3 linked regions of the Callithrix jacchus genome follow. The protein of the gene in region 1 purifies or fractionates together with the protein of each later gene. This does not show direct contact. Links are inferred from orthologs where the notes say so. Each region holds a gene or a part of one and is shown on either strand. Other genes may lie near its edges.

The links.
Region 2: the proteins of AKAP7 (region 1) and PRKACB purify together in Homo sapiens (affinity purification with mass spectrometry; 4 studies listed by BioGRID and IntAct, counting the BioPlex papers as one, with this or other methods). This does not show direct contact. The link is inferred for Callithrix jacchus from reciprocal best matches to the Homo sapiens genes AKAP7 and PRKACB.
Region 3: the proteins of AKAP7 (region 1) and PRKACA purify together in Homo sapiens (affinity purification with mass spectrometry; 4 studies listed by BioGRID and IntAct, with this or other methods). This does not show direct contact. The link is inferred for Callithrix jacchus from reciprocal best matches to the Homo sapiens genes AKAP7 and PRKACA.

The regions. Positions count from the first base shown.
Region 1 is NC_133505.1:137,883,536-137,891,847, reverse strand, and holds part of AKAP7 (A-kinase anchoring protein 7), read right to left. Parts: intron 4,571-8,312; coding exon 4,423-4,570; intron 1-4,422. UniProt on the Homo sapiens protein: Probably targets cAMP-dependent protein kinase (PKA) to the cellular membrane or cytoskeletal structures.
Region 2 is NC_133508.1:121,452,439-121,459,964, reverse strand, and holds part of PRKACB (cAMP-dependent protein kinase catalytic subunit beta), read right to left. Parts: intron 3,290-7,526; coding exon 3,164-3,289; 3' UTR 1-3,163. UniProt on the Homo sapiens protein: Mediates cAMP-dependent signaling triggered by receptor binding to GPCRs.
Region 3 is NC_133523.1:12,871,006-12,879,317, forward strand, and holds the end of PRKACA (cAMP-dependent protein kinase catalytic subunit alpha), read right to left. Parts: intron 6,185-8,312; coding exon 6,058-6,184; intron 5,969-6,057; coding exon 5,873-5,968; intron 5,777-5,872; coding exon 5,654-5,776; intron 2,538-5,653; coding exon 2,373-2,537; intron 1,675-2,372; coding exon 1,549-1,674; 3' UTR 148-1,548; downstream 1-147.

The sequences.
Region 1 (8,312 bases):
AGGTAGGAAATACACAAATCTAATGAAATCTAAATTATCTCCCCAGAAAAATTCACACATGTACCTACATACAAAGTTTTATATATCCCTGAGGCCCAACTTCTACCCCAGAACTCTGAATACAAAATATCTTGAGATCTGAAATCTGTCCCACTATATTAATGAATACAATAAAATGTTGGCTCAAGGCTCAAGAAACTGACATTAAATTTGAGTTAGGATCAAATCAAAGAGAAGCCAAACCAAGGTAAGCCAATTAAATCTGATTAAGAAATAAAACAAAGTGTCCCAAATCCTGATATTCTGTTATAAAATATAGGTGAGATTCAGAAAATTAATTAATTATCTATAAGCAAATAAAAGAACTCATGTACATTAAACTTTGTTAATTATACCAATAAGTTATCACTTTAGATGCAGATACGATTTTAAAGTTCATATTACCATCACCAAATGTGACCCACAAAAGCATTTGTAATAGGCACAAATAATTTTTCAAAAGAATGTGAAATGACTGGCATGGGGATTCAAGATTGGCAGCGTTTGAAAAAGGCAAAATTGTTCTGAATTAGAAACAATAGCAGCAATAATGAAACTTGATGGAAAGATCTGGAGAAACTACCTCAAATAAGGGGAAATTATAAAGACTATAAGTTAAAAGAGCAATAAAAGCAAAATCTCAGTGGCTTGAACACAGTGATGGTGGGTGGTAGGCCGAACAGAACTGTCCAGTGGCAATTTAGGTAATCTATGAATATAAGCTTTATAATGCCAGCCCTGCAATATTTTCACTAATATCAACATATTCCTAATTTTTTAAAATAGGAGTGAGAGAGGTAATGAGGCATTGCATCTCCTACAAGTTGGCCATAAACTGCAGGGAAGATGGGGAAGCTAGCCAAAATCTGTCCTACACAAGAAGTATCTATATTTTTCATTTACAATGAACCTAAACAGAAATGTTTGGTCCTCATCAAAACTTGGATGGAAGACAGCTCTCTTACAGATTCTGAAAACACAAAAATTCTCCTTAAAATAGACTTGAGATGTTTCAGAATATAAAATTCATACGACATATTGAATATCTTCTGTTTAAAATAGCTGAAGTATTTGAAAGGTAAAATGAGGACCTCTGAAAATCTCTAATGAAAAATTGGAAGTAAAATTGTGTCTCCTGAACATTTTTAAATGCTTTAATAAATGTCAGTATTAAAATTCTTTCAGGATGTATACATCCATAGGTGTTCTTCAAGCTGATGTGGAGATAAAGTACCTTGGTTAAAGACCTTGCAATATTTAGCTACATATACAGCCATACCTCAGAGATATTATGGGTTAGTTCCAGACTACTGCAATAAAGCAAACACTGCAATAATGCAAGTCACATGAATCATCTAGTTTCCTAGTACATATAAAATTATGTTTCATTATATCGCAGTCTATTAAGTGTGCAATATTATATCTAAAACATGTACACATTTTAATTTAAATACACCTTATTGCCAAAAATGCTAACAATCATCTGAGAATTAAGCCAGTCGTAATCTTTTTGCTGGTGGAGGGTCTTGTCTGCTGATGTTGATGGCTGCTGACTGATCAAGGTAGTACTTGCTGGAGGTTGAATGGCTGTGACAATTTCTTAAAATAAGACAATAATGAACTTTGCTGCATCAATCGACTCTTCCTTTCATGAAAGATTTCTCTGTAGCATGGGATGCTGTTTGATAACATTTTACCCACAGTAAAACTTCTTCAAATTGGAGTTGATTCTCTCAAACCCTTTAAAGCCACTGTTTTAGCAACTAAGTTAATGTAATATTTTAAATTCTTTGTTGCCATTTCAACAGTGTTCAAGGACCTTTACCAAGAGTAGATTCCATCTCAAGAAACCACTTGTTCTGTTCATTCATAAGAAGCAACTCATCATCCACTAAAATTTTATCATGAGATTACAGCAATTCAATTCCATCTTCAGGCTTCACTCCTTATTCTAGTTCTCTTGCTGTTTCTATCACATCTGCAGTTACTTCCTCCAATGAAGTCTTGAACCTCCCAAAATCATCCATGAGGGTTGGAATCAACTTCTTCCAAACTCCTATTAATGTTGCTATTTTAACTTCCACCTAGGAACTGTAAGTGTTCTTAATGACATCTAGAATGGTGAAACCTTTCCAGAAGTTTTTTCATTTGCTTTGCTCAGATCTATCAGAAGAATCACTATTCATGGGAGCTATAGCCTTACAAAAATATTTCTTAAATAATAAGGCTTGAAAGTCTAAATTACTCCTTGATCCATGGGCTGCAGAATAGTCGTTGTGTTAGCAGGCATGAAAATAACACTAAGCTCCTTGTACATTTCCATCAGAGTTCTTGGGAGACCAGGTGCACTGTCACTGAGCAGCAATCATTTGAAAGGAATCTTTCTTTTTCTGAGCAGTAGTTAAAATATTCAGTAAACCATGCTATAAACAGATGTGCTGTCATCCAAGCTTTGCTGTTTCATTTATAAAGCACAGGCAGAGTGAATTTAGCATAATTCTAAAGGTCCCTAGGATTTTTTAAGTGGACAGTGAGCACTGGCTTCAACTTAAAAGTCACTAGCTGCATTAGCCCCTCACAAGAGAGTTAGCCTGTTCTTTGATACTTTGAAATCACGCACTGACTTCTCTTATGTAGCTATGAAAGTCCTAGAAGGCATCTTCTTCCAAAAAAGGGTGTTTTGTCTACATTGAAAATCTGTTGTTTCGAAGAGCCACCTTCAAAAATGATATTAGCCAGATCTTCTGGATAACTGGTTGCAGCTTCTACAACAGCACTTTCTCCATCACCATGCACTTTTATGTTATGGAGACAGTTTATTACCTTAAATTTCATGAACTAGCCTCTGCTGGTTTCCAGCTTTTCTTCTGCACCTTGCTTACCTTTCTCACCTTTCACAGAATTGAAGAGAGTTTGGGCCCTACACTGGATTAGGCTCTGGCTTAAGGGAATGTTGTGGTTGGTTTGATCTTCTATCTAGACCACTAAAACTTTTTCCATATAGGCAATAAGGCTATTTCACTTTCTCAAGACTTGTGTGTTCTTTGGAGTAGCACTTTTAATTTCCATTAAGAACTTTTCCTTGGCATTCACAACGTGGCTAACTGGTACAAGAAGCCTAGCTTTCGGACTATCTTAGCTTTCGACATGCCTTCCTCCCTAAGCTTAATCATTTCTAGCTTTTTTTTCTTTCTTGCATGTCCTTCCAATGTAGCATATCTACCTTTTGATTTAAGTTAAGAGATGTACAACTCTTCACCAGGGAGTGGCTGTTCGATGGAGCAGTCAGAACACACACATTTATCTATTTGATTTGATATATGAATACAATTCATATGGCAGTCCCCCAAAATAATAACAATGATAATATCAAATACCATTGATCACCGTAACAGATAAAATAATAATGAAGTCTAAAATGTTGTGAGAATTACCAAAATGTAATTGACACAAAAAGAGCACATGCTGTTGGAAAAACAGCCCAGAAAGACAACTGATACACAGTTGCTACAAACCTTCAATCTGTTAAAATTAAATAAATAAACTGTGTTTTTTAAGGCAATTACCTGAGAAGCGCAACAAAGCAAAAGACAATAAAACAAGGTATGCCTGTATTTGTCTTCTTTGAGTATTTTCATGTTATTTTAAAAGAATACAAATCAGTTTGTTTTGAAGGTTCACAATTTTAAAAGAATAGTGTCTGGTTTGAAATAATAAATCTGAATCACAACAGAGCTGGCTCCTTTGAAATGCATTCACATTGCAAAATGTAGAAAATGGTTCTATTCTGGATGAAAGATCTCTGTAAGTGTATACACTTTCCACCTAGAAACAGTTTTATATGAGGCTGTCTCATCTCATGCCATCTGACAGATGCATTTATGTATGAATCTTTGCTTCCCCTCAAAACATCTTTATTAGGGAAGAAATTGAAGTTTTCAATTTTTGCAGGCCACTTACATTTTCTCTTTTCAAGGTGAAACTTTCTGGCCAGGGTCCTTTTTTCCTAATTATAAGCAGCAGATACAAAAATGTGTGGTGTGGAAGGTCATGGAGGTCTTCCCTGGAGAAAATGTTTCTTCATGTTCACGAAATAAAATTAAGTTGAAATGATTTCTAAATCAACATTTCCAGACTTCATTATAATTATATTTAAAGCCAGGGTATAAAAACAATAGGTAGTAAAATCTTAACTTATCAATATAAATACTAAAAATGCTCTAGAAAATTTCCAATGTATCATTGTCAATACATAGATAGTATTTAGGAAAGTATATCATTGAGAAAAACATATACAACTAAGTTTAAATATTTGCCAAGATAAAAGTGATGCCAAGGAAATTAAAAATAAATATAATAAATAATTTTCTAAATGACACTCACCAATCACAATGGAAGATTCACAGTGATAATAACCATTACTTTGTTTTTTCTTCTCCATGGAGCAAAGATCTATGCGATATAATATTTCTTCTCCAAATCTGTGACTGATAAACTTTTCATATAAATCAGGATCTATTTTTTTCACTCCCTTGAAATGAAAAAACAAATAAATCAATCAATCATTTTACCCAGGCAGCCAATTCATAGTTACATCATTTTCTTAGAACCTGATTATTACATTTTGGTATAAAGTACACCACTGCCTACAGGCACTTGAAAATGGATACATAACAACAAAATCGTTATAAAGTTGTTTTTCAAGTCTCCCTGCCTAGAATGAGTTGTATTTTAAAACCATCAATAAAAAGTGTTAGGTTTAAATTTGGCAGTTTTTCTGAACTTAATACATTTTAAGCTCTGAAAATAAGTATACTGAGTTAAAACTTGAGATACCAAGGAAAGACTAACCATCCCCAACAATAATGGAGAAATGGATCAATTTTTTTAAAGCAAGGTAGGAAAAAATAAAATAAAATAAATCTTTAAAAAGTAAGGTAGATCTTAACATTCTATAGTGGGAAAATGTTCTAATAAGACAGACACAATTTTTAAATTCCTTATGTTAGAATCATCTGAAAGACAATTAAAGACGACTTGAATTGGAGTAGGGAGGTGAGTGGATCTTCCAAGTTCTTTCTACCTGCTCCTCGTTATTTTCAGTGTATTTTCTTAGCAGAAACAGATGGTTGTTGAAAAATTACAGTGGGATGTCCTTGGTACCTCTGTAATTTCCCAAATACGGGAAAGAGTATCTCTACCTCTGCTATACTATACAATGGCCCTGCAACTTGGCCTCAGAGTCCCAAAATACAGTCCATAAGATGAAGGTAACTAGAATACATATTTTCTCTTTTCACTAACAAAAACTTACTTAGAAAATTAGTTAATAGAAAAAAATTGATAAAAACAAAAAAAATCATTACAAACTGCTACTGCTATAGTTTTATGCGTTTAGTTTTTCCTATGCAAAAACAAAGCATATTTTTTTCTCTTCTATAGAACGTGGTTGCTCCCTGAGTACTATTTGATAACCAGCTTTATATTTTCAGTAAATATGCTGTGTCAGTAAATAATATACAGATGTGCCAATTATTTCTCTCCATAGAACTTCATTGCATGGAAGTCTCATAATTTATTCATTCAATTATTTACTATTGGACATTTAGGTTGCTCTTAATTTTTAATACTATATATTAAACGAGTTTTTGTTGATATGTTTTTGTTCAATATCTAAAACTGGGCTCCTAATCTCTCCCACTTACCTCCAAGTGTTATGAGACTAAGTTAATTTCTAAAAGTACTTAAAACAATGAAATATAATGAATTATATACATATAAACATACATTCATATAGTCACTATTATCATTAGTGAACTTCATGTAATAACTTCAGTCAAGATAAGACTTCAAATATAAAAACATTCTGAGTAAATGGAAAATGACCAACCATTCTTGTCTTTTAAATGCTTGTGTGTGTGTGTGTAGGGGTGTGTGGGTTGGAGAGAATCATTCCTTTAGACTGGCGATAAGACTGGTGATAACATAGCAGATAAATAAGAACCTTCAATTTTCAAGAAACCGGTGCCAGCACTGATGAGCCACTATCACTATAATCTTCACATCAGTTTTGCAAAATGTCTTTTTTTTAAAGTAAGAAATAAAACATGAGATTGACTCTAATATTCTAGGCTTACTAATTTAATTTCCACAAAAGGTAAACACCAATTGTTTTGCAAGAATATTTCACAGATGACTTCCAACATGAGTCTTCAGGAGTTAACTTCTACTACCAAGTGAAACAGAATTCCTTAACTCATAATTTATAGAGAGAGCTATGGTTGAAAAGGCATGATGCCTTTAGAAGGCACTGAAATTACATGCCCTGATCAGAAAAATCTTTAGCAATAAACAATCTAGAAATAGCTAAACCTCTGCACTGTCTGATATAAATTACAGTATCAACATGATCTTCATTCTCTGGAGAAATTTTTTGTTTGGCAATATATTTCTTTTATGATAAAATTTATCTGAATTGATCTCACCATCAAGCTGCAACAGGTGGTGTTTTCTTCCTTACTAAAAAAAAAAAAAAAAAAGGGAAGACTATGATTCTGAGAAAATAAATGATACCTCAAAAGTGGATGATTTAGGGTAAGACTAAGAAGGGCCCTATTTTCTGAATGAATCCAGAGGGATGGCAAAATTGTTTCAGAAGCAACATCCTTCCAGATTATGTTTTAAAGCTAAAAAGGCTGGGTGATGGCGTTATTTTCAGGTTGTGGACCTCCCCAAATTATTCGCTGCTTCCCTTCATCATAGGCCAGACCCAAGGCACTATCACTTAAATATCAATGGAGGTACACAATGTTAAGAGGGTTCAAAGGATATGAAAATTGTTAAATTTGACCTTTAAAGGCTAAGAGTTGGGACTATTTCAAATGTAGAAGAATAATATGTAAGGTATCTTTAACAAATCATGCTCCTGGTGTTGCAACCCTAGAATTTTGAATATGATTGGTGATGGTCTAGTACTTTGAAGGTTATTTTTGCCTTGAACATAACAGGGACAAGGTATATTTTCAAGGGCTTCATATTTATAATTGTACCCAATATAAGTGACATGGCAATTATGTAACATAATATTAGAAGAGAAAAATAGGAGGTTAAGTATGGAATATCAGACTTTGAAACAATAAATCAGTGGCAAGAAATGTCAAACAGAAAAAAGTTTTCAAGGCTACTTAATTAATCATTAGAAATAACTGAAGTTTTAACTTATCTTTAGCCTAGTTTCAATCACAGTTTAGAAAAAATTATCAGCGATGTTCAAAAACACTTGATAAGCTTTGATACAATGTACAGTGAACCAGGAATTTCATTCTTGGTTGTAATTTGGCACTCAAACAGTCCACTCCAGAGAAAATGCCACTGAAAGCATGGGTATTTTTAGAATCATCTGATGGCTCAATCTGATATGTAATGGAAATTATTTACTCAGGAAGCACTCACCATATCATTTACATTTAGCTAAATGATGTGCATAATATGTGCCCAAAAAGGCTCACTCACACTTATATTACTATGCCTCTGACCCTATTTTTAATACAGTCACAAAATATGTAAGTTCAAATTCTCAAAGTGAAAATCATTTAATGTTCAAAAGGTACATTTATTCATCTTTAATTTTTATGACAAACTTTTTGTCTAAATAATAGAAATTAATATTAAGAGGGCTGAAACTTTTTTGTAATAGAACATAACTTCATATTGTTACTTGTTATAACAATCACAACTTCCATGAGGAAAATATGAATGGATTTCATACAAGATTTATTTGAACGGGCTTCATATAAGAAATTATTTGTCCTATTGATAGTAAGCTTGGCATTCCTGGATCTCTGCTATGTTTTCCAATAGTTTACTGCTGACATGCAAGTAGGTATAAAAGAAATATATATTTCCTGGCCAAACATGCTGGCTCACACCTGTAATCCCAGAACTTTGGGAGGCCAAGGCGGGCAGATTACAAGGTCAGGAGTTTGAGACCAGCCTGATCAATATGGTGAAACCCTGTCTCTACTAAAAATACAAAAATTAGCTGGGGGTGGGGGCAGCACCAGTAGTCCCAGCTACTCGGCAGGCTGGGGCAGGAGAATTGCTTGAACCAGGAGGTGGAGGTTTCAGTGAGCCGAGATCACACCACTGTACTCCAGCTTGGGTGACAGAGCAAGACTCCATCTCAAAAAAAAAAAAAAGGAAAGGAATATATATTTCCTGTGATAATGACTTGACACCAAAATTAAGAATGGGATTTAAGAGCCAAACTCGCT
Region 2 (7,526 bases), on another chromosome or scaffold:
TATCCGTTGAAGAGACTTTAATTTTGCAGTTATTGATTAATTAAAAAACACAGTTGTTTTCAGCATTTCCTAGCTACAGTAGGGCATAGGAAATTCCACTCTAAACAAAGAAGTAATTAATGAAATAACAACACACCTTAACATTTTACATGGATAGGTTACAGTTTACAAGGTGCTTTCACATACATTATTTCATTTGATTCTTACAACAAGCAGAAAAAACAGTGGGAAAGGAATTTTTTTTTTCAGGCTTACAATGAGTATTTTCAGGCCAATGGGCAGTCAATACAAGAATATACCAAGAATGAGACAGCAATACCCATAAGCCACAGTATCTTTTTTGGTAGGTTGACAGTTTGATGCAACTGGGTATTCAGCATCAGTGAATGAGAAAGGAATTAGGACAGACCCCAAGGTTCTTATGATATTCAAAGTATTTTAAGAACACTGTCAGAGATAAGAAGAAAGATGCCCTAAAATGTATCACCTTACTGAGACTTGCTTCAAAGCAATATATCCTTTCAAAATACCAGATAAAAAGGCAATCTTGTCAACAACTGTGAAAGTTAGGAGGAATCTTACAAACTGCCTAATCCAATTCTTGCATTTTACAGATAAGAGAACTGAGGCTGAGATCATACTGTTTTCCAGCCTGAAACTCAGATGTCTTGACTTTCAGTCTAGGGCTCCTTCTTCTACAATGCCATCTCTTAATCATTTACTGAGCATAATATAATATCTTCTGTTTTAAATAATGTAATTTGAGGTTAAATACTGATTTATGCTACTTATTTCTTATTCAAGTTTTTAACCTGTTCTTGGCTAAATTGGGGCTCAAATTGGGAATTTTACATACTTTAAAAATATTCTAATTTAGTGTACTTGAGTGGTCAGAAATGAACTCCCTTGACTTATTTGCTCATGACAAGCTTGCTCATGTCCTTTAAATAGAGTGGCCTTAAAATGGAATGGCTGAATAGCCCTCAAAAGCAATATATGTCTAGGGGTCATCTACCTAAGGTAGATTCTATCATTGGGCACTAGTAATTTCATAGAAAAAAATATTTTTTAGAATTCATAGAAATCTTTTTGATTACTGAAAACTAAATTGTAATAATCAAATTGTCATCCCCATGACTTATTAAAATAATTTTACAATAATATACAACAAAGCTACCATAGAATTTGTAGTTTACATATAGAATACATTGGTCAGCATGTTCTTGGGTCTTAATGAAATACAAGAAAATTAAAATATTTTATACAAATGACGTTTTAAATTTATTAACATGATGATATGCTTTTGTTACACAAAACTTGCTAGAGCAGAATATTTTAAATTGCACATTTTAAATATAGATGGACCAGTGAAATCAATATTGGCCTTTACGTGACATTACCATGCAGAAACACTTGATAACCGAAAGACATATAGATTGGTAAAAGAACATCTCAGACAGGATTTTTTTTAAGTCTTCAAAGATTTTACAAGGGTGTGGTACGTATGAGAAGTGATGTGAGTGACCTACCTGCACCGATAATAAAGCAAATAGAATGGTTATATACATTAAGATCAGTTTGATTAAAAACAACTCACTTTATATGCATGTAAATTGATCATAAAAATGAACCTAGTTTAACTCTTCTTGTGTGTAGTTTTAAGGTAGGTCACTGAAACAGAGGTAAAATCAGATGGGGAAAATTAAAAGCAAAGAAAAAGCAAAACAACTGAGTTAAGCCATGGATTCTCAACAAACACTGAAATAAATGTGCAAAAGTGCTTGAAATTTCCACCTGACAGCAATGTTGTTGAGTCAGTTGGCAAAAAAGGTGTAGGAAAAAAACTAACCTCTCAAATACTAAAATTGTATCTGCACGATCGTTTAGACATTCTGTTTATTGAGAGAAAAGAGGTTAGAAATGATGAACTCTCTGAAAATATCATACCTCAAAATGAAAATGCAATTGTGGCAGTTTGATACACTTTGTTCCCTTTCCTCATTGATGAGGCATGGGATGAAAGCAGAAGTTGCAGCAGTGCCCCTACCCTAGGCTCACAACTATAGTACACCAGAATCATTAGCTGGAAACAACTTCTTTCATTTTTAACGGTTACAAAACAAAACAGTTAACCCTCATTTAAAGATAAGTACCTCTATATTGTTGCAATAATCAAGCCTTTTTTTGACTTTGAAAAGTATAAGTATTTATCCAAACCAATGTTCTTTTTAGTTTGCTTATTTTCCTTTAAAAATTTTATGATGAGAACTATAAAAGAAACTTTAAAACTTTCATTAATCAGGTTCTATTAAAATACTGGCTAAAATCCTTAAGGAACAATTAAGGTTTAGAAAACTTAAACTCTTCTCTAATACCTACAAAAATGCTGGTACCAAGTGAGAGAATCTGAGTGATGATCCATGTCATTAGTTTTTCCTGCTGAATGAGACACATTTGTCACACTACAAAGGCTGGTCACTTCATTGCTCAAGGGGAGGAGGACATAAAAGGAGGGAAAGGGAACTAGAACCTCTGATTTGTAGCAATCCAAATTTCTGGGTCTAGCTGTTTGTATTAGTCTGCCAAAATTTATTGCCAGAATAGTGAATTCCAAGAAAGTTAGTCTTAATTTGTATACATTTCCTTGGTGATAAGACAGTCTTCAAAAATTATCAAGAGTTTTGGCAAAACCAAATCTGAGCTACTCAAAGTAAAAATAATTATTAGAAAGTTTATCTTCAAGCCATTGACCAACAACAATATTGGCATGAACTACTAAAAGCAACACTTATCCTTCCCTTCAAATATCACATAGCCATAACACTGCCCATCTGAAACACCAACAAAATAAAATGGAGCACTGTTTAGAGAAAACAATGAAACTGGAAAAGGAAGAAATGGATGTAGGAGAGGAGAAAGACAACCCAAAGAGAAGTAAGAAAGTGGTCTAGTACTGTGTTATGGCACAGACAATGCTTGCTTAGCGGTGCCTTGTTACATAGGTGGATGCAGAGTGCACACACGGGATGATGGCAATAAAGACCTCACTCAGTTGGAATGAAGGAACTGGGTAACTGCTTCAGCAAGGACGGTCTCAGCTCTACCTTATCTCTCAACAGAGTGCAATCACTGAGTGTGAGCTCGGATGTCATCTTGTTCCTCTTTAAAATTCATCAAATTCTCTTCCACATTTTTCTGTTATAGACACACGGATATCTTCTTCTTCATAGTCATCAAAGTTGCTGGTATCTCCAGAGCCTCTAAACTTTGGTATGAATGGAGCTTCAACCTATTATTGAGAGAGAGAAAAAAAAAGTGCTAAAAGAAGCAGCAAGCAGTAGGTTAGCTATTAACCTCAACATTTTCATTCAAGGAAGTATGCAGGTCAATGAAATACTTAAGAAATTTCTGGGATAATTACCAAAATCCTGGCTCCTAAAGTTATAAAACTTTAGTCCTTCCTTTTTCAGTTCCTTGTTTTTAAAAACCTTATCTTTTTCTATCCCTTTTGTAAAAATTCTTTTCTCCTGAAGTTACAGATAAATCTCAGACTTACTTTTAATTTCTTTCCTTTATTAATTCCCCAGTTTATTTTGTTTAAAATATCTGGCCATCAAAACTTTCTGAGAAGTTGGAAAGAAACATATCTCTTTTAGAATGAGAGAACTGTTAAACTTTAAACAGTTTTCTCCTTTGATCCTGAAACTAAAATGTCTTTCCAATACTTCAATTATGGTCTTCTGTAAAGATTAAATGGGGATACTGAATACATTTGAGGAAAAGATTTTAAAAACTTAAACTTAAAAAAAAATTCACAATTTGCACAGCCTTTATAGAATTTACAAACTACTACAGTTGCTTTATTTTGTTCTCAATACAACACTGTGAGGAAGGAAGGACAGGTGTTCTTACTCCCATTTTACAGATTATAAAAGAGTCAACCAAATTCACATGACTAATAAGTGGCTAAAGCAGGTTTCAAATTCATGATTCTCCACAGCTTTTTAACTTATATCCCTTTCAGTAAAACATTTTCTAGTACATATAATAGATGTAGTTATCTACTTATAAGTTATTTAGGTGCATGACTATGCTATTATATAAGATATACCTACAAATAAGGCATTTAAAAAGAATAAGGTAAAAATAAGCAGGAATGAGACTTCTCATATTATCTTTTTGTTTGACAGCTGGCTGCCTTGCATGCCCTGTTTTGGGGACTGCTGTTTTGCATGCTCCAGAAGAATGAGCTAAGCAGATAGCTGCCTACTGTCTAGCCAGCCAGCAATTTAGAATAACAAATCTATTGGGGCAATCATGTGGAGAAAATGATTGTACAGTTTGAATTGTTCAGGCCACTTCTTTGTTCTGACTTTTTTTCCCCTTGATGCATTTGGAGATGCATCAGAGAACAAAGAAGACAATGAAAACTATTCATATTTACTATGATTTTTGCACTGTTGTGCATAGTTATAATAGTTGAGAAGATATTAAAATAAATGGCTAAATTAAAGTACTCTATTATTTCTATTTGTAAATTATCCAGGGAGCCTTACATCTGTTTCACTGATAATCAAGATTCAGCTGTCAATCAATTTGTCCATTACTACAACCTGTATGTTACAATGTGGTGCTTGTTGGTAGGTTAGCTGTTTATTACCTGGGATAAGTCAAGCCCTTTGAAAAGCACATAAACTCTAAATGAGTAGTGGCAATTTAGTTCTACCCCATTTTAGAAATAATTATTAAAAACTAAACATAATATGAATAGATTAGTAAATAATTGCTATTTGGCAGAAGATTTTATTTCTAAATACAAATATGAAAAGATTCAAATACATTAGAAATCTTTAGAATACTAATAAAGTTGACAAACCTCAAGGAAGTCTAAAAATATACCTCTAAAAAGCATTAATTAACAATAAATAAAATAATAAAGGTAATATGAGTGATGATAGAAAGAAAGGGAAATGGATTTTATTGGAAACATAAATTTCTTAAATTTACTCAAGAAGTAAAAACTTGAAGAGACCAATCTCCAAGAATTAGTTTGTTAAAATTGATAAGGAATAGATATAAGATGATCCTATGTTCCTAAATTTTCTGAAGAATAAATGCATAGAAACTTCCTAAACTCATTTTTATGAATCCCATATAATCCCAGCTTCAGAAAAACAGAAACTATAGATTAATAAAACTTTTGACTATGGAAGTAAAAAGCCCAAATAAAATTTTAGCAGATAGATTCAGGCAAATATTAAAATCATACCCCCATGATTAAATGGTATTCATTCCAGGAAAGTGAGGATGTCTCCCTGATATAATTCATCACACTAACATGTTAAAAAAGATAAAATAAGTGTATTAAGAATCAACAATATTTTGTTAATCTGATAAAGAATACCTATCTCAGTCAAATGGCAAACGTTCTATTTGGTGGTAAAACATGAATGGCAACAAACTATAGAAATGATCCCTGAAAATATATTCTAGTGCATTTCAATTCAAAGCAGGAACAAAACATTAAAATATTGTTGTAGACATTTTAATAAATATAATAAAATGAAAATGGAAATGAGATATAAATACTGAAAAGGGACAGACAAAATGATATACTAATCTCTTGTGATTGTCAACAAAAATCCAAAGGAATTACTGAAAAATGTGGAAATCAGTAAGAGAATTTAGTAGATGACCAATTGTAATATAAACATAGAAATTGTTTTGCCCATATCCTACTATAATGGTAAAGCAAACACATTAATAATAGCAATCAAAATATACATTTAATCAATAACTTTAAGACATAAATTCATTCCTGTATGGAGGAAAGGGGGTTTCTAAAACTTTACTGAAGGACAAAAGATATTTGAGTAAATGCAGAAGTAACATGTTCATAATGGTAAATTCTCAAGATTCAGGTTCTCTCCTAATATTCAACTTTACTGTTAATCCCCAAATTCAATAAATCTTTAGAAAGACCAAAAATACAAACCATTGGCAAGTCTAATTAAAAAAGAAAGAGAAAACATACAAGAGATAAGGATGATTTTCTAGGAAATATAAATTACCTAATGACTCTAAAATAAAGCACATGGGGCAAGAAAACAAAAAATTTAGAAAGGGTAAACAAGGGTGAAGAAAATATTATAATATTATTTTAATATTTTTTAAATATTAAAATATTATTTAATATTTATTAAAATATTATAAAGCTACATAAAGCAGTAACATACACAGTACAAGAACAGAAAAAAAGAACTCATGAAAAATAAAGGTCAGGGCTTCATGATGGCTGACCCAGAACTCTCCTCTACAACGGACCAAAACATTGAGCAGATAATTACTTGTTGAAAAAAGCCTCTAAGATAGAGCAGTGAAATTTAGCAGGGAAGGGACAGGGAACATCTGAGGCAGAGAAGCAAAAGGAAGTAAATAGCTGGCATGGCTGGGACCAGCTGGGAGCCAGAAGAGGTTATCCAGTGTGGGGAAAGGGTAACTGAGAAATCCCCAGTGGTCTGCATTTCCACCACAGACTCTTGCAATCCTAGCCATGTAAGATGCCCACAACCCTTGTGAATTCTGACACAAGTATAGGGACCTGCCTAGAGTTCACACAACAGCACTGTTCCAGAGAGGGAGTTTGTGCTGGGTCCCATACCCCCCAGGACCCAAGAAGCTGAAGCACAGTGCCATTTTGAGAGGCCAACTACTATTGGACTGTATGCATCTCTATACACCTGGAGCCCCACTGACAGCACCCCATGTCCACCAAGAGGGCTGCAGTGGCACAGTGCTGGCTGGACCCAATGGTGTAGCAGGGTCCCCAGCACTTTAACCCACACAATGTCCTCCACTGCAAAGAACAGGTAGGGCAGCACACTAGGCAAGGCTGTTTCTGGGGTAAAGGAAGCCAAAGCACACACTCCCCAGAGCCTGAGAGCCACCTGCCTGGGGCCACTGATAGCAATGCCCAGCCCCCACAGCAGGGCTGCCATGTATTTGCACCACCTGCAGTGGGCCTGAGAACTGGCCCACCTGGATGCTATCTGGGGGCATGAGGACAGACTCACCCTACCTACCACCTCCCAAGTATTTTGTCCCGGGGCCTAGGAATAGTCCTTTCCTGCCTACCAGAATCTGCATCTGGGTGCACCAATGAGGGCCTGAGGACAGGCCTGTCCCTTTAGGTGAGACCCCTCCCGATGTCCCAGAACACTACGTGGGGAGTGCCCCCCTCTGCCTATCACTCTGGGTACATATATGTACGATTAGGAAGCATTAAAAAAACTCAGGCCATCAGCCACTGGCATCAAAACATGCTGCCCAGAGTCCTGAAGACTGCCCTGTCCACCAGAGCCTGCAACCACGGGTACAGCAGGGGAGCCTGGGGGTAGGCCCTCCCTGCCTGGTGGTACCTCCCACAGTGACTGAACGCACTGTCTGGAGGCTTGGGGATCCATCTGCCCTGCTTGCTGCTTCTGGCATGCACATGCACCATCAGGGTGTCTAACTAAACAGACCCA
Region 3 (8,312 bases), on another chromosome or scaffold:
GAAGGAGTGCCGGAATTTCAACTAAACCCTGTTTATAAGGACTCCAGGCCAGGACCTGATTGGCCTGCACGCTGGGGTCCGAAATTCCCTCCTCAACCCCCTGGGGGTGTGTGGGTGGGTGATCGAAGTCGAGAACACCAGCGACACTTTTTTTTTTAAACAAAACTTTATTGGTAATAGTTTTCAAATATGTTTACAACAGCACACTGTTCAAGAGGAAGTCTCGTCCTTCTCAGCACACAGGTTGAATCGCCCCCGAACCCACCCGGGGCCCCGTCCCAGGCCTGAGAACTCCTCCTGGGATGGGGAGAAGTTATGAGAGGGGGAAATAAGGGGATGAACGGGGTAGTCTCCACTTTTCTATTAAGAGAGAAAAATGCACAAATGAGACTGGGGGGAGACGTGATGGACAGCTGACAGCTAAGCCGGAGGAGGGGGACCCAGGATGGCAGAGGCGGAAGCTGGTGGGTGAGTAAAACAGGCAGCTCCTCCCCAGCAGCTCTAGCCTTGAACGCCGGGCCAAGACGTGGGGGCACTTGGCCTCTTCCGTGTCCTTTTGCAGATATGCCCTCCCCACTGAGCTGAGGGAAAGCTGGACATTAAAATCTAGTGGAGAATAAAATTAAGGAGTTGGGGGAAATTGCTGCTGGGAGGAAAGACTTGGGCTTGGGGCTCCCCCTCTGTCTTTTTGGGGGATGACTCCTCTTTGGCAGGGAGAGGGACAGCTGCTTTGTCTGGCTCTCAAAGCCCAAGGGTGAAGACAGGTCTGCTGGGGAAGAAGAGAGCGGAGGATTCCTAAAGGGGACTAGACCCTCGCAGGATTGGCAGAGAGGATCCCCCAGGGAGGGTCCCAGAGGAGATTAGCAGCTCAGCGGGGAGGTTCAAACCCCAGCGCCTCCCTTTCCAAAGTCAGTCTGCTTCTCATTAAAATGGATTGGGGAATGGGGGGACATGGGAGGGGTGGGAGTAGAGGAGGGAGGGAGGGAGGCACTGGTGGAACTTAAATAAGATTTTAAATCGTTTTTAAAAAAATTCTAGCAAGCAGCCCACTAAACATGTCACTAAAAATCTCTCCTTCCCAGGCAGGATTACTCCAAAGGGAAGGTTGGCGCTTTGTTCATTTGCCCTTAGCAAGTGGTGCCTGTGGTTGGGTGGGATGGGGGTGTGGGTGGGGGCTGGAGTTGAGTTTGAGCCCCTTTCCACACCCTGTCCCTGGATACACCAGCAAGACCTGGTCTGACTGGAGTTGAGGAACTCGTTTAAAACAGGCAGAAGTGGGCTGGGGTAGGGGCTGTGGGGGAGGAGGAAGGGAAAAATGGGAGGGGGGGGCCGGAGGGCAAAGGGGATGAGGGGGAGCAGCTGGTGTTTCTGTTCCTCCGATTATCTGGGCTTCCTGCTCCCCCTAACCCTGGAGGGTGGGGTGGGGGTGAAATTAGATGCAAGGAACTCTGGGGCCCTCTGGCTGTTCAATCCAACCCTCCCACCCCCCCCAACAACAACAACAAAAAAAGGAAAGAAATGAAAACCCATGGGGGCACAGGCACACCCCTAAAACTCATTAAACTCCTTGCCACACTTCTCATTGATGGAGACCCGGATTTCTTCTTCCTCATAGTCGTCAAAGTTACTCGTGTCCCCAGGGCCTTTAAACTTTGGTATGAAGGGAGCTTCCACCTGGAGAGGGATCAAAAACCACCCATACCTCAGCATTCAACATAATCATTATTACAACAATAAATGTGAATGGCCTAATGTTCAAGAGATAGTTACTCTGACTCAGGCCTGTGCTTAGCATTAGGTTATGGATTCCTCTTAACAACCAGAAATTCTACATGTAGCCAGCTCAAGGGGAAATTACTTCCCAGAGAGAGGCATCTTCTGCACTAGGTCATGGAATGGTCAAATGACACCAGAATTCCATTTCTAGATCCCACTGGCTCTAAGCACTCTACTCTAGGTTGCTCCTGTACCTCCCATGTTCTCTTCCCTTTCTTTCTTTCTTTCTATTTTGTTTTGAGACAGTCTCACTCTGTCATCCAGGCTGGAGTGCTTGGCTTACTGCAACCTTTGCCTCCCAGATTCAAGCAATTCTCCTGCTTCAGCCTCCTGAGTAGCTGAGATTACAAGCGCTTGGCACCATGCCCAGCTAATTTTTGTGTTTTTAGTAGAGATGGGGTTTCGCCATGTTGGCTAGGATGGTCTTGAACTTCTGACCTCAGGTGATTCACCCACCCTGGCGTCCCAAAGTGCTGGGATGACAGGCGTGAGCCTCTGAGCCTGGCCCTCTTCCCTTTCTATCTCTCTGTTGGTTGTCCTCCCTGACTCTTGGCCTGCCCCCAAATCTTCAGCAGGCTTAAGGAGGGGAGGCCCACCTTCCTCTGGTAGATGGCGATCCAGTCAGTCGTGGCAAACCACTTGTGGTTCTTGATATCGTTGACCCCATTCTTGAGGTTCCCAAAGCGCTTGGTGAGATCTACCTGCAGGAGGTTCCGCAGGAGGTCCTTCAAGTCAGAGCTGAAGTGGGAAGGGAACCGCACCTGGAGGAAGGGGTACAAGGACAGGGTGGGAAGCTGCTCTGGAACTTGGGGAGCCCAGGATGCTTCCTTCTCCATCCAGCAGTCCTACTGGGTGGGTGCCTCCAAAGCTGAGTGCCTGCTGGCATCCTGTAAAACAGCTCCTTGGGCCCACCCTAGAGTTTCTGGTTTAGGAAGTCTGATACTGTGGCCTGAGAATATGCATTTCTCAAACAACTTTTTAAAAATTAAAGAGCTAGTTACTCTAAGAAGTTTTTGGCTGGGCACAGTGGCTCACGCCTGTAATCCTAGCACTTTGGGAGGCTGAGGTGGGCAGATCACAAGGTCAGGAGTTTGAGACCAGCCTGGCCAACATGGTGAAACCCCAGCTCTACTAAAAATACAAAAATTAGCTGGGCATGGTGGTGCGTGCCTGTAGTCCCAGCTACTCCAGAGGCTGAAGCAGGAGAATTGCTTGAACCCAGAAGGTGGAGGTTGCAGTGAGCCGAGATTGTGCCACTGCACTCCAGCCTGGGCGACAGAGCAGGACTCTGTCTCAAAAAAAAAAAAGTGTTTGTAGAGACAGGGTCTCGCTACGATGCCCACGCTGGTCTCGAACTCCAAGGCTCAAATGATCCTGCTTCGGCATCACAAAGTACTGGGATTATATGCATGAACCACCACACCCAACAAGAATCTGCATTTTTTTTTTTTTCTTTGAGGCAGAGTCTCACTTTGTCACCCATGCTGGAGTGCAGTGGCGCAATCTCAGCTCATTGTAACCTCCGCCTCCTGGGTTCAACCAATTCTCCTGTCTCAGCCTCCCAAGTAGCTGGGATTACAGGCGCACGCCACGAGACCCAGCTAATTTTTATATTTTTACTAGAGACAGAGTTTTGCCATATTGGTCAGGCTGGTCTCGAACTCCTGACCTCAGGTGATCCACCCACCTTGGCCTCCCAAAGTGCTAGGATTACAGGTGTGAGCCATCGTGGCTGGCCCAAAAGTCTGCATTTCTAGCCAATTCCCCAGCAATAGTCCTGCTGGAAAGGAGTCCCCTTTAACAACCATAAGGCAAGTGCTATTATGGTTTCCATTTCAGAGAAGGGGAAACTGAGGCTTGGAAGGGTTAAAGAACTCTTCAAAGGTCACGCTGAGGAGTGGGACGGGGCAATTCCATCTCAGGTCTGTGGGACTCTAGAACTTGCATTCTCAGCTACTGCTGCCGTAAGCCATCTGTGCTGGGGTCTGTAGACTTCTGAAATAGTCATGCTTATGTTAAACGTTTTTCCCTCTCTCCCTGCCTAGCTAAGTCTCTTCCATTCTTTAAAGCCCAGCCCAACTCTTGTAGAAATCTTCCCCAAACGTTCTGAGTACATAGCCTTGTAGACAAGTCGTCACTGGAGTTATAGTTGCAAGAAATGACTTCTTGTTCCTGCTGTGCCTCTTACATGCTGTGTGACCTTGGCCATGGCCCTTAACCTCTCAGGGCTGCACGAGGAAGATAATACCACTGAGGGTGCGGGGGGACTGGAAAATGCTACAAAGAAGGGCATCATGTGCGTCTTCCCCTGTGGGATCTTCTGTGGCTTTTTTCTCCATTTTTTCCCACTCTGGGCCATTTTCTTGGCAATTTCTATTCGGCCTAGTGGCAAATGCCTCATCTTTCCTTTTCTTTTTTTCTTTTTTTTTTGAGAGATGGAGTCTTGCTCTGTTGCCCAGGCTGGAGTGGAGTGGTGCAATCTCAGCTCACTGCAACCTCCGCCTCCTGGGTTCAAGCAATTCTCTGCCTCAGCCTCCCTAGTGGCTGGGATTATAGGCACCCGTCACCATGCCTGGTTAATTTTTTGTATTTTTAGTAGAGATGGGGTTTCACCATTTTGGCCAGGCTGGTCTTGAACCCCTGACCTCGTGATCTACCTGCCTTGGCCTCCCAAAGTGCTGGGGTTACAGGTGTGAGGCACTGTGCCTGGCCTTCCATCTTTCCCTTTTAGTGATGCTATGTGTCTAACCAGAGAACCCCAGTTGCCTGAATTTTTTTAAGACAGGATCTGGCTCTTAGCCCAGGCTGGATTGCAGTGGTGCAATCACAGCTCATTGCAGCCTTGATCTTTTGGGCTCAAATGATCCTCCTGCCTCAGCCTCCCGATTAGCTGGGACTAGGGGTGCACCATCATGCCCAGCTAATTTTTAGATTTTATTTTTTAAAGAGATGGGGTCTGGCTATGTTGCCCTGGCTTGTCTGGAACTCCTGGCCTCAAGCCTCCACCTCCCAAGGTGGTGTGATTACAGGCGTGAGCCATTGCACCCAGCCCCAAAGTTTCAAAGCCAGCACTGGGCCCAGGCTGAGCCTGAGGGTGCTCCCACCGGGTGTGGTGACTCTGGGCCGACCAGAAGCTCCTATGTAGGAGATGCTGGACCAGGTCGGAGGATGGCTGGGTCCTCCCAGCAAGGTGGCTGAGCTGAGGGCAGAGGTGGGGTCCCCAACCTCTCTGGCCATCAGTGCCTATGATGACTCCTCTTACTCACTAAGGTGTGATCTTGGTCAGGACACATCTCTTTTCCCAGCCAGTTTCCTCACCTCTCCTACAGAGGGTGCCACCATCTCAGGGTGTGACTGAGGGGGGTGAATCTGGGGCCTGGCAGATGGCAGGCACTTTGCACCTGTCACAGATACAAGCTTACATGGTTTTACCACCCTTAATCTGAACTTTCAGAGTTTGACAAATCTGTGTTTTCGAGAGGAAGCATGGGCCTTAAACCCTAAGCGAGGGTCCTTCCTGGTGAGGCTGCAGACTGCACCTGGGAACCAAATACATCTTGGAACTTGCGAAAACTCACACTGACGGGGACAAGGAGAGGTGAGGAGGGTCGCCTGGCAAGGTGGTTTGTGTTTTGCAGCAGGGAAGTTCCCGTGAGGCTCGGGATTTTGGAAGCCCCTGGGATTCTGGAACCGTGGGGTTGGCGCTGGACAGCCAGGGGGCTCATGGTATTGGCACATCCAGCTTCACCACCTGGCCTGACTTACGGAACTTCTAGGTGATTCTGACAACAAGCAGGGCTCCCCAGAGAGTAGGATGGGTGAGCGGGGAAGGGACTGTCTCATTCTTTCAGGACTGTGCCCCTCATCCAGGCCTCACCTTTCCAGAGACGATCTTCTCATAGATCTGGATGGGCTGGTCTGCGAAGAAGGGCGGGTAGCCAGCGGCCATCTCATAGATAAGAACCCCTAGGGCCCACCAGTCCACAGCCTTGTTGTAGCCCTGGAGTGAGATTGGGAGGGAACAGGGTAAGGCGGGGGCGAGAGATAGCGAGCAGAGCCAGCCTCAGGGGAAGGGGAGGGCTGGGGAGGCGCCTACTTTGCTCAGGATGATCTCGGGGGCCAGGTACTCAGGGGTCCCACATAAGGTCCAAGTGCGGCCCTTCACACGCTTGGCGAAACCGAAGTCTGTCACCTGTGGGCACAAGAATAAGCAGTTGGCAGGGAGGGAGGGGCCAGGCCACGGCTTGCCCAGGGCTGCCCCTCGCCCGGCCTGGTGGACACCTGAATGTAGCCCTGCTGGTCGATGAGCAGATTCTCTGGCTTCAGGTCCCTGTAGATGAGATCCAGCGAGTGCAGATATTCGAAGGTCAGGACGATCTGGGCCGCGTAGAAACGGGCATGGGGCTCACTGATGGGGACAAACGGGGAGGTGAACGTCAATGGCCAGGCCCCAAAAGGGTCTAGCAGGTGGCCCTGCAGAGCCTCCCCCAGGGGAAGACACCCCCAGTCCAGCTGTCAGAAAGGCCAGGCACCTGATTCTTAGGTGGCCCGACCTGGGAAACAGCCTGTAGGTCCATCCACAGGGGAATGGAATCACAGACTGAGCTCTATTCATACAATGGAATTCCACTCAGCACCACCACCGCCAGCAGGACATTGCCTGCCTCCACTCCACAACGTGGCTGCATTTCAAACCGATTATGTTAAGTAAGAGAAGACACAAAAGAACACGAATGATTCCATTTATGTCATGTCCACACCCAGACAAAACAAAGGCACGGTGTTTGAAGTCAAAGGATGACTGCCTTTGTCGGGGACCTGACGTGTCAGGAGAGGGAGTCAGTCGGGCACATTAGCTCACGCCTGTAATCCCAATATTTTGGGGGGCTCAAGGTGAGCAGATCGCTTGAGCCCAGGAGTTCGAGACCAGCCTGGGCAGTACAGCAAGACCCCACCTTTGCTTATTATTGGAGGGAAAAAGAAGGGATTCAAGAGAATTTTCTGGGGAGATAGAAAAAGTTCCATATACTGTTTTGGATGGAGGTTAGGTGGCTGTGTACAACTGTCAACATTTGTGGAATGTAACACTGGAGATCTGTGCATTTTATTGTATATAAAGTGAATCTACAGCTATCTATCTAAAATACAACTACAGGGCCAGCACCATGGCTCAGACCTGTCACCACAGCACTTTGGGAGGCCGAGGGGTGCAGATCACCTGAGGTCAGGAGTTTGAGACCAGCCTGACCAACATGGAGAAACCCCGTCTCTACTAAAACTATGAAAATTAGTCAGGTGAGGTGGCCTGCACCTGTACTCCAGGCTACTCAGGAGGCTGAGATGGAGAATCGCTTGAACCCGAGAGGCAGAGGTTGCGGTGAGCCGAGATCGTGCCACCGAACTCTAGCCTGGGTGACAAGAACGAAACTCTATCTCAAGAAATAAAATAAAACAAAATGACATTTGTAAACTTACAAGTTTGTAAGTTAAAAAAATTTTTTTTCTTTGAGCAGGGTCTCTGTTACCCTGTCTGGAGTGTTGTAGTGTGATCGTGGCTCACTGCAGTCTTGACCTCCCAGGCTCAGCGTGTCTTTCCACCTCAGTGTCCCCACTAGCTGGGACTACAGGCATGTGCCACCATACCTGGCTAATTTTTTTTAAATTTATTTTTTGTGTAGATCGGGTCTCAATCTCCTGGGCTCTAGTGATCTGCTCACCTTGCCCTCTCAAAGTGGGGTTACAGGTGTGAGCCACAGTACCGGCCTGTGTCTTAAAGTTACACATTTATGTATATAGTTTTATTTTATGTATAAAAATATACATTAAAATCTATACATATAAAACTGTTGATCTATATAAAATAAAATAATTTTTTTTTTAAAAAAAGAGACAAAATCTCACTATGTAGCCCAGGCTGGTCTCAAATTCTTTTTTTTTTTTTTTTAATTCTTTTTTTCTTGAGATGGAGTTTCACTCTTGTTACCCAGGCTGGAGCACAATGGCATGATCTCGGCTCACTGCAACCTCCGCCTCCTGGGTTCAAACAATTCTCTTGCCTCAACCTCCTGAGTAGCTGGGACTACAGGCTTGCACCACCATGCCCAGCTAATTTTTGTATTTTTAGTAGAGACAGGGTTTCACCATGTTAACCAGGATGGTCTCGATCTCTTGACCTTGTGATCCACCTGCCTCGACCTCCCAAAGTGCTGGGATTATAGGCGTTAGCCACCATGCCCAGCCTTAATTTTTTTTTTTTTTTTTGTAGAGATGGGGTTTCACCATGTTGGCCAGGCTGGTCTCGAACTCCTGACCTCATGATCCGCCCACCTCGGTCTCCCAAAGTGCTGGGATTACAGAGGTGAGCCACTGTGCCCAACCTCAAATTCTTGAGCTCAAGTGATCTTCTGGCCTCAGCCTCAAGAATAGTGGGACTACAGATGCATGCCACTTTTGGGGGCTCAAAAAAAATGCACAAAATCACCAACTGCAATTTTTTTTTTTAAGACAGAGTTTCACTCTTGTTGCCCCAGGCTGGA